Linked DNA regions of Macaca mulatta. The protein of the gene in region 1 interacts with the protein of each later gene in a biochemical or structural test. Links are inferred from orthologs where the notes say so. Each region holds a gene or a part of one and is shown on either strand. Other genes may lie near its edges.

Evidence for each region.
Region 2: the proteins of RNF114 (region 1) and XAF1 form a complex in vitro, tested with the Homo sapiens proteins (2 studies listed by BioGRID). The link is inferred for Macaca mulatta from reciprocal best matches to the Homo sapiens genes RNF114 and XAF1.

The regions. Positions count from the first base shown.
Region 1 is NC_133415.1:102,783,023-102,786,830, forward strand, and holds part of RNF114 (E3 ubiquitin-protein ligase RNF114), read left to right. Parts: intron 1-2,692; coding exon 2,693-2,799; intron 2,800-3,446; coding exon 3,447-3,561; intron 3,562-3,808. UniProt on the Homo sapiens protein: E3 ubiquitin-protein ligase that promotes the ubiquitination of various substrates. In turn, participates in the regulation of many biological processes including cell cycle, apoptosis, osteoclastogenesis as well as innate or adaptive immunity.
Region 2 is NC_133421.1:8,229,455-8,234,021, forward strand, and holds the start of XAF1 (XIAP-associated factor 1), read left to right. Parts: upstream 1-1,679; coding exon 1,680-1,711; exon of another isoform or gene 1,712-2,138; intron 2,139-4,024; coding exon 4,025-4,160; intron 4,161-4,567. UniProt on the Homo sapiens protein: Seems to function as a negative regulator of members of the IAP (inhibitor of apoptosis protein) family. Inhibits anti-caspase activity of BIRC4. Induces cleavage and inactivation of BIRC4 independent of caspase activation.

The DNA.
Region 1 (3,808 bases):
CTAGCAGGGCATGGTGGTGTGTGCCTGTAGTCTCAGCTATTCGGGAGGCTCAGGTGAGAGGATGGCTTGAGCCCAGGGGGCAGACATTGCAGTGAGCTGAGTTCTCACCACTGCACTCCAACCTGGGCGATAGAGCTGGACTTTTTTTTGTCTCAAGAAAAAAAAAGTGATTCAGTTTCGAAAGCTACATAACATTTTCTGCCCTTTGACAAATTTTTACCAAAAGTTGGTAAAAACTGTAGAATGTTTACCAACCCAGTTGTAGAATTTTTGCAAAATGAGATCACACTATAATATATATGTTTCTTCAACTTTTTTCACTTGTTTAAATGTACATTCATTCCCAACTTTTTTTTCACTTTCAGTTTTTTTTTTCTCTTACATATTGGACAGCCTTGCATGTCAGTTTCATTATTTTTTAACACTTCGGTATGGATGCCCATAGTATGAATATACCTTACCATCTCCTTTTCAGGGTGATTTAGTATTAGCGATGCATAGTAGGACCATTTTAATGCTGAATAGGGCTATTTTCTATATCTTAATTGGGGGCTTCACTATTGAGGCTGGGCATGGTGGCTTATGCCCGTAATCCTATCACTTGGAGAGGCCAAGGTAAGAGAATCACTTGAGCCCAGGAGTTCGAAATCAGTCTGGGCAGCATAGTGGGACACTGTATATACCAAAACAAGCCAACAAACAAAACTAGCTGTGTGTAGTGGTGTCTGCATGTAGTCCCAGCTCCTTGGGAGGCTGAGGTGGGAAGATTGCTTGAGCCCGGGAGTTTGAGAGCAGCCTGGGGAATATAGTGGACCCAGTTTCTACAAAAAAAAAAATTGGGGATTCCTCAGTTTGTAGCTTAAAGTCAAGTTCTTTAGCTGGAGGTGAGACAATCATCATGGTAAGCTGGAGCTCCAATCTTGGAGCATTTTTCCCCCTTTGAAGTTTACTTTTAGAAACTCAAGATACTGAATTACAGTTTCCTACTGCCTTTTTTTTTTTTTTTTTTTTTTTTTTTTGAGACGGAGTCTCACTCTATCGCCCAGGCTGGAGTGCAGTGGCATGATCTCGGCTCACTGCAAACTCCGCCTGTTGGGTTCACACCATTCTCCTGCCTCAGCCTCTGGAGTAGCTGGGACTACAGGTGCCTGCCACCACGCGCGGATATATATATGTATACATATATATGTATATATCTCGTTTTGTTTTGTTTTGTATTTTTAGTAGAGGCAGGGTTTCACCGTGTTAGCCAGGATGGTCTCGATCTCCTGACCTTGTGATCCGCCCACCTCGGCCTCCCAAAGTGCTGGGATTACAGGTGTCAGCCACTGCACCCGGTCTCTTCATCTTTATTTATGCATGCATAATGTGGTTTTTGGTTTTGTTTTGTTTTGTTTTGTTTTGTTTTTTGAGACGGAGTCTGGCTTTGTTGCCCGGGCTGGAGTGCAATGGTGTGGTCTCGGCTCACTGCAACCTCTGCCTCCCTGGCTCAAACCATCCTCCCACCTCAGCTTCTCAAGTAGCTGGCACCACAGGCATGTGTCACCACGCCCACCTAATTTTTTTTGTATTTTTAGTAGAGACAGAGTTTTCATGTTGCCCATGCTGATCTGAAACTTGGGAGTGCAAAGTGATGGTCCACCTCAGCCTCCCTCAGGATTACAGGTGTGAGCCACCACGCTCCACCCATGATGAGCTTTTTGTTTGTTTTACTGTGTGCTTTTGCTTTTCTCCATTTTCAAGATCAGTTATTGTATGGTTGGCATGCCTCTAAAAATGTTTTTCTTTCCTCCCTCTTTTCTTCAATTCTTAAAACTTTCTTTCTTTTTAGAAAACCTGTAATGAAGCATTATTCTCTGGGTTTTCTTCTCTTTCTATTTTACTATTGCACAGCCTAGATTTTATGTGAAAGGTTGGGCTAGGCATGGTAGCTCACACCTGTTAGCCCAGCACTTTGGGAGGCCAAGGCAGGCATATCACTTGAGGTCAGGAGTTCGAGACCATCCTGGCTAACATGGTGAAACTCCATCTCTACTAAAAATATGGAAATTAGCTGGGCATGATGGCACACGCCTGTAACCCCAGCTACTCAGGAGGCTGAGGTGGGAGAATCACTTGAACCCGGGAGGCGGAGGTTGCAGTGAGCCAAGATGGTGCCACTGCACTTCAGTCTGGACAACAGAGTAAGTGAGACTCCATCTCAAAAAAAAAAAAATTTAGATTTTAAAGATTATTTCTCAGAGTCTGGTGATTGATACTTTAATCAGGGTTGGTGGCTTTTATACGTTTTACCTAAATGATCACTTTTCTCTGCTGCACATAACAGAATGTGGTTTTTGGCTTGCTATAAGGAGACTAGTTTAAATGCTAGTATAGAAAACTTTTAACAACATCCTAGATTTGGAACTTGTCTGTGAGCACACAGCCTGTCATGAATAGGAGCAAACCTCTAGAAGAGTTATTTTAGAGTGGAAGCGGATATCCTGATTTAGTCAAATAAAATAGCAGCCTTGTTATTAATGGGAAATCTGCAATAATCAGGGTTTCAGCCCCATCAGCATAGTCAGGAGTCTGGTGAGATTATTTGCCAGGGTGGTGTAGGTCTAGTTTTCTTTGCGCCCTTGTTTGGGACTACATTTGGCCTGTTACAAGGTCCTCACTAACTTGTGGGCTCTGATTCTTCCTATTTGAGTTCTTCCTATCCAAGATCCGGTCCCATGTGGCTACTTGTTCCAAATACCAGAATTACATCATGGAAGGTGTGAAGGCCACCATTAAGGATGCATCTCTTCAGCCAAGGTAAATGACTCAGTCTCCCCTTAGGTGGAGGTCATCTCTTGCTATTAATACAAAGAGGTTGGACACCTTGCATGGTCAGGGGTTTAGTTGTATGAATTGTTATGCTGGCTAAAGCTGATACAAGTATTTTGGGAGGAGTATGCAAGGGAGGACTCTGGTGTTCACTTCAGATGTTAGCTGAGCTATTCTTTTTTTCTTTTTTGAGATGGAGTCTCGCTCTGTTGTCTGGGCTGGAGTGCAGTCGCGCAATCTCAGCTCACTGCAACCTCTGCCTCCCGGGTTCAAGAGATTCTCCTGCCTCAGTCTCCCGAGTAACTGGGATTACAGGCACCTGCCAGTAATCCTGACTAAATTTTATATTTTTTAGTAGAGACAGGGTTTCGCCATGTTGGCCAGGCTAGTCTTGAACTCCTGACCTCAGGTGATCCTCCTGCCTTGGCCTATTGGGATTACAGGTGTGAATCACCATGTCCGGCTAGCTGAGCTATTGTCTTCAAAACACTTGATCTGAGTCTAAAGTGATCATCAGCGTCCTTGTCGTTACACATTCGGTGAGCTTTGCTCCTTTTGGGAGTGTACTGTGGTTGAAGTTGAATGGAAAGGTACTCACAGAAAAATTTTCTTTTTTCCTGTCTTTCACCTTCCAGGAATGTTCCAAACCGTTATACCTTTCCTTGTCCTTACTGTCCTGAGAAGAACTTTGATCAGGAAGGACTTGTGGAACACTGCAAATTATTCCATAGCACGGATACCAAATCTGTGGTAAGAGTAACCTTTTTTTTTTTTTCCTCTTAAACTCTATTATGGGAAAGGATCAAGCTTGGAGAAAAATGATGGGATTAGTAAAATGAACTCCTGTGTGCCCTACACCTAGATTCACAGATTGTTAACATTTTACCATATTTGCTTAACCATGCTCTATAATACACACTTTTTGCTGACCACTTGGGAATAAGCTACAGATACCATGACTTTTTTGCACCCTGAATAGTTTGCACCCTGATACAGT
Region 2 (4,567 bases), on another chromosome or scaffold:
GACAATGTGTGAAAAGAAAGCTCTTCGTTTTTCTTTTTTCCTTCCTTCCTTCCTTCCTTCCTTCCTTCCTTCCTTCCTTCCTTCCTTCCTTCCTTCCTTCCTTCCTCCCTCCCTCCCTCCCTCCCTCTTTCTTTCTTTTGACAGAGTCTCGTTCTGTTGTGCAGGCTGGAGTGCAGTAGTGCAATCTCGGCTCACTGCAACCTCCACTTCCTGGGTTCAAGCGATTCTCCTGCCTCAGCCTCCTGAGTAGCTGGGGTTATAGGCACACACTACCACACCCGGCTAATTTTTGTATTTTTAGTAGAGACGGGGTTTCACCATGTTGGTCAGGCTGGTCTCCTGACCTCGCGATCCACCCACCTCAGCCTCCCAAAGTGCTGGGATTATAGGCATGAGTCACTGCGCCCGACCTGCTTATTTTTCATTCTTAATATTCACAGACTGCCCAGAGACAGACAGGAATGGGCAGTGAGGGTCAGAAGGATTAAGGAGCTTGCCTAGCCAGTGAGGAAGGGAACAAGATAAGATGCAAACCTCAGTCTCTGACTCTTGGTTAAGTGCTCCCTACCCCAACCAGCTGTCAAATGAGGTGGACGGGGTCTTGATTAGGTACATAGACACCTGAATAAGATCAACCTGGTGTGAATCCCAGCTCTGATGTTGAGTGATTGACCTAGTCTCTCTCTGCCTCCATTTTCTCTTTTTTTCTTTTCATTTTTCTTTCTTGAGGCAGAGTCTCACTCTGTCACTGCCTCTGTTTTCCACAGGAAAATGGAATCAACCATGCTTACCTGAGGGATTAAAACGAAGACAATGCCTACCTAATGCTTAGAACGGTGCCTGGAACCTAGACGATGCCGAAGCAGTCCTTCATGCTTCCCTCCTATCGCTGTGATCATCAGTACCACCACGCACTGCTTCTCATTTAGTGCCTGAGTTTTAGAGCCTGCCTGGAAGCTGGAGCCCTGCCTGGACATTTCCCTTAATTTTGTTACCCTCCTCAGAGAGGCGGCACCCACCCCACTGGCAGACTCCTCGGGAATTCTCTGGGCCTGCTTGTCATCACTCCAGACGTTGTTTAGAGTCCTTCTGTAAGCACAGCTGTTTCTAGTATCTGCAAAAACTCTTAAGGGCCCCGGGGAGGATACACACCAGATTGGGTCTGGGCTCACACTACCCTGCATCCCCAGAGCCTCCCTGGACGCTGTTTGCGAAGTCCTCACCGCCTCAAGTCCAGGAGCCATTTTTAGGGAACAGCATTCAAGCTCAACACGGCAAGTTCCCTCTTTCCTGCAGAGGGAGGAGCAGAAGGGAGCCGGAGATCGGGGAGAAGGGTGGGAGGTGGATGGTTTGGAAAAGGGATGGAGACCCAGACAGAGCGAAGCCAGTCAGCCAGGGTAAGCGAACAAGCTGCTGCCCAGGAGAAGCCTGGCCTCAGGCTCCCTGTGATAGCAGCAAAGAATGACCGCAGAGAGCGGCAGCAGGTGCTGGCCATGCTGTAGAGGGGCTTCCTGGGAGGGTCCAGCCACAGGAATCAACGGGGAATCCTGAGCCGAGAATTCTGAGGGTAGGATCTCCTCCCTCCCTGAAGCTGTGGGCTGGGCCGTCGGAAGACTTTCAGTTTTGTTTCCTTGCCTGCAAGAAACGAAACTCAACTGAAAGACTCCAGAGAGCAGAACATGGAAGGAGCCTTCTCGGTGTGCAAGAACTGGTAAGAAAGCGCTTTCTCCAGCAGCAGACCCCGGCTGGTGAGGGAGAAACGCCGAGGAGATAGGGCTGTTTCTGAAGGGAGGAGAAAGTAGTTCCGGCATAAAAACACTTAGGAGGACAAGCAGCTGGAGACCGTGGGCCCCGAGGGTAGGAGGGTCTAAACGTGATAATCTCTGGGCGAGGGTGGACAGCATTACCTCCACTTCACTGCAGCCCCTTCCCCCCAAATTTTAGGCTTCCTGGGACTGTTCTGAAGACAAATAGCCCGGCCAGTGGTCCCAGCTGGGCTACTCATACTTGTGAGACCTTGGGTCCTAATCTGGGGTTCTGATACTCTGACCTTCACACCAGTCTGTGAAAGAAAGGGTCCCACGGAGATTCTCCAGGACTACTCTCACCCTCCTTGAAAGGGAGCCGTGGGGCAGAGCAGGGAGGACAGAGCAGGGGGCTGGGACCACACCTCTAACGGGGCGGGGCGGGGGCGGGGGCGGAATCTGACCCGTGGAAAAGCCCCATTCTCAGAGCTCCCTACCTGTGGCAGGGACTTGAGTGGGACCCTCCCCGGAGAGCTTTGCTCCAGCCAGACCCTTCAACTACTCTGGTTTCTCAACCAGCCTAGGAGGAGCAGGGGGAGAAGGGACCAGGCCAGGCAGAGGAGAGAGAACAGAGGAAGGGAAAATGCTGCCGCCTGTGTGCCCGCTGCCTGGGCAGAGCAGAAGCAAAGAGCTTGTTCACATCAAGAGGAGTGAGGCTTTGACGGTCCCTCTCGGGGCACGCCCCATGTGCCAGGGACATGGGCATGCAACTGTTCTCGTCCTCTGGGCCTTTATGGCTACCGCAGTTTATCTGTAGGTCAAATATACTTCTATAAGGCTGTTTTTAAAATGAAACATTTCACTTTAAATAATGTAAATAATTAAATTATTTCAATTTCAACAATTCGAGAGAAGTGCCAACTTCTCTTGAATCTTTTTTCTTGTTTTCTGGTGCCCCTCTTTGGTCCACAGTGTTAGGAACGCAGCCCTGCTAGGGCAGCCTTGCTCCCCATTTCCCTTCTCCCGAACTGCCACGAGCAAGAGTTGATGGAAGTGAAAAGGGTCATTTATTTCTTTCTTCGTTTTTTTTTGTTTTTTTTTTTTTTAAGATGGAGTTTCGCTTCCTTTTGCCCTGGCTGGAGTGCAATGGTGCGATCTCAGCTCACTGCAACCTCCACTTCCCGGGTTCAAGTGATTCTCCTGCCTCGGCCTCCCGAGTAGCTGGAATTACAGGCGTGCGCCACCACGTCCGGCTAATTTTGTATTTTTTTAGTAGAGATGAGGTTTCACCATGTTGGCCAGGCTGGTCTCTAACTCCTGACCTCAGGTGATCCACCCGCCTCGGTTTCCCAAAGTGCTGGGATTACAGGCGTGAGCCACCACACTTGGCTAATTTTGTATTTTTAGTAGAGATGGGATTTCTCCATGTTGGTCAGGCTGGTCTTGGATTCCCAACCTCAGGTCATCCACCCGCCTTGGCCTCCCAAAGTGCTGGGATTACAGGCGTGAGCCACGGCGCCCAGCCGAAAGGGGGCGCTTCTTGGTGAAGAGGATGGTTGGAGAAAAACGCCCTGCCCAGGAAGTGGGAGGCTCAGAACCCTTCCTGCATTGTGGTCTCTGGGAAGAACCTCGGAGTCTCTGTGAGTTAGCGCAGGTGAACCTGGAGGCAGGAGAGACGGGAAGCTCTCGCTTTGGAGATTCTGGAAGTTGACATGGCCCTGGCAGGAAGCATGAGCCTAGCAGGGCTGTGTTCCTAACACTGTGGACCAAACAGGGGCACCAGAAAACAAGAAAAAAAGATTCAAGAGAATTTGGCACTTCTCTCGAATTGTTTAAATTGAAATAATTTAATTGTTTACATTATTTAAAGTGAAATGTTTCATTTTAAAAACAGCCTTATAGAGGTATAATTGACCTACAAATAAACTGCACATTTTAAAGGGTAATAATTGGTAAGTGTTGGCCTATGTTATACACATCCATGAAACACCATCACCCCCAAACCTCCCCCGTGCCCCTTGGTAATTCCTCCCTCCTGCTCCTTCCCATGCCCCGCCCCAGCAATGTAAGAGCTCTGCAGAACGTCCTTATTCTTATTCGATGCTGCCCCACTGTTCTGGTTTTGGACCCACACAGGGAGTGTGGGGCAGGAGGTCATCATCATCACATGTTCAGTGCTTAAGGCCTCTGGAGATCTAGCCCTGGGTATGAAATACAGCTCCATGTTTTATAATTTGAAAATAAGTCTGCTTTCCCATCCCCCCACCTTGACCCTGTAGCAAAAGACACGTAGCCTCTGCCCACTTCGCCCTCCATGAGGCTCACTGCCTGCGGTTCCTGGTCTTGTGCCCGGAGTGTGAGGAGCCTGTCTCCAGGAAAAACATGGAGGAGCACTGCAAGGTTGAGCACCAGCAGGTGAGGAAGTGGCAAGGATGGGGTCTGGGAATCGGGGCAAGGGTGCAGTCCTGCCTGCAGGAGAGATGGGGTCTGAGAGTCGGGGGACGAGGGCCCAGTCCTCCCTGCAGGTGAGATGGGGTCCGGGAGTCAAGGTGAGTGTTCAGTCTTCCCTGCAGGAGAGATGGGGTCTGGGAGTTGGAGCGAGGGCTGGGGACTTAAGGCAAGGGTCCAGTCCCCCAGGCAGAGACTCACTTGAGGGTCATGGGAAGTCATTCAGCCCCTCCACACGAAGCCCTGTGGAAAGGAAATGTTAATCCTGCCTTTTCATGCTAATCTGAGTCTACCTCCAGTTTTCCCATTTCCAATCCTTTCCCTATAGGCTTATGGATCTGGCACAGGCAAGAGGTTCTGGTTTCAGGAAAGGT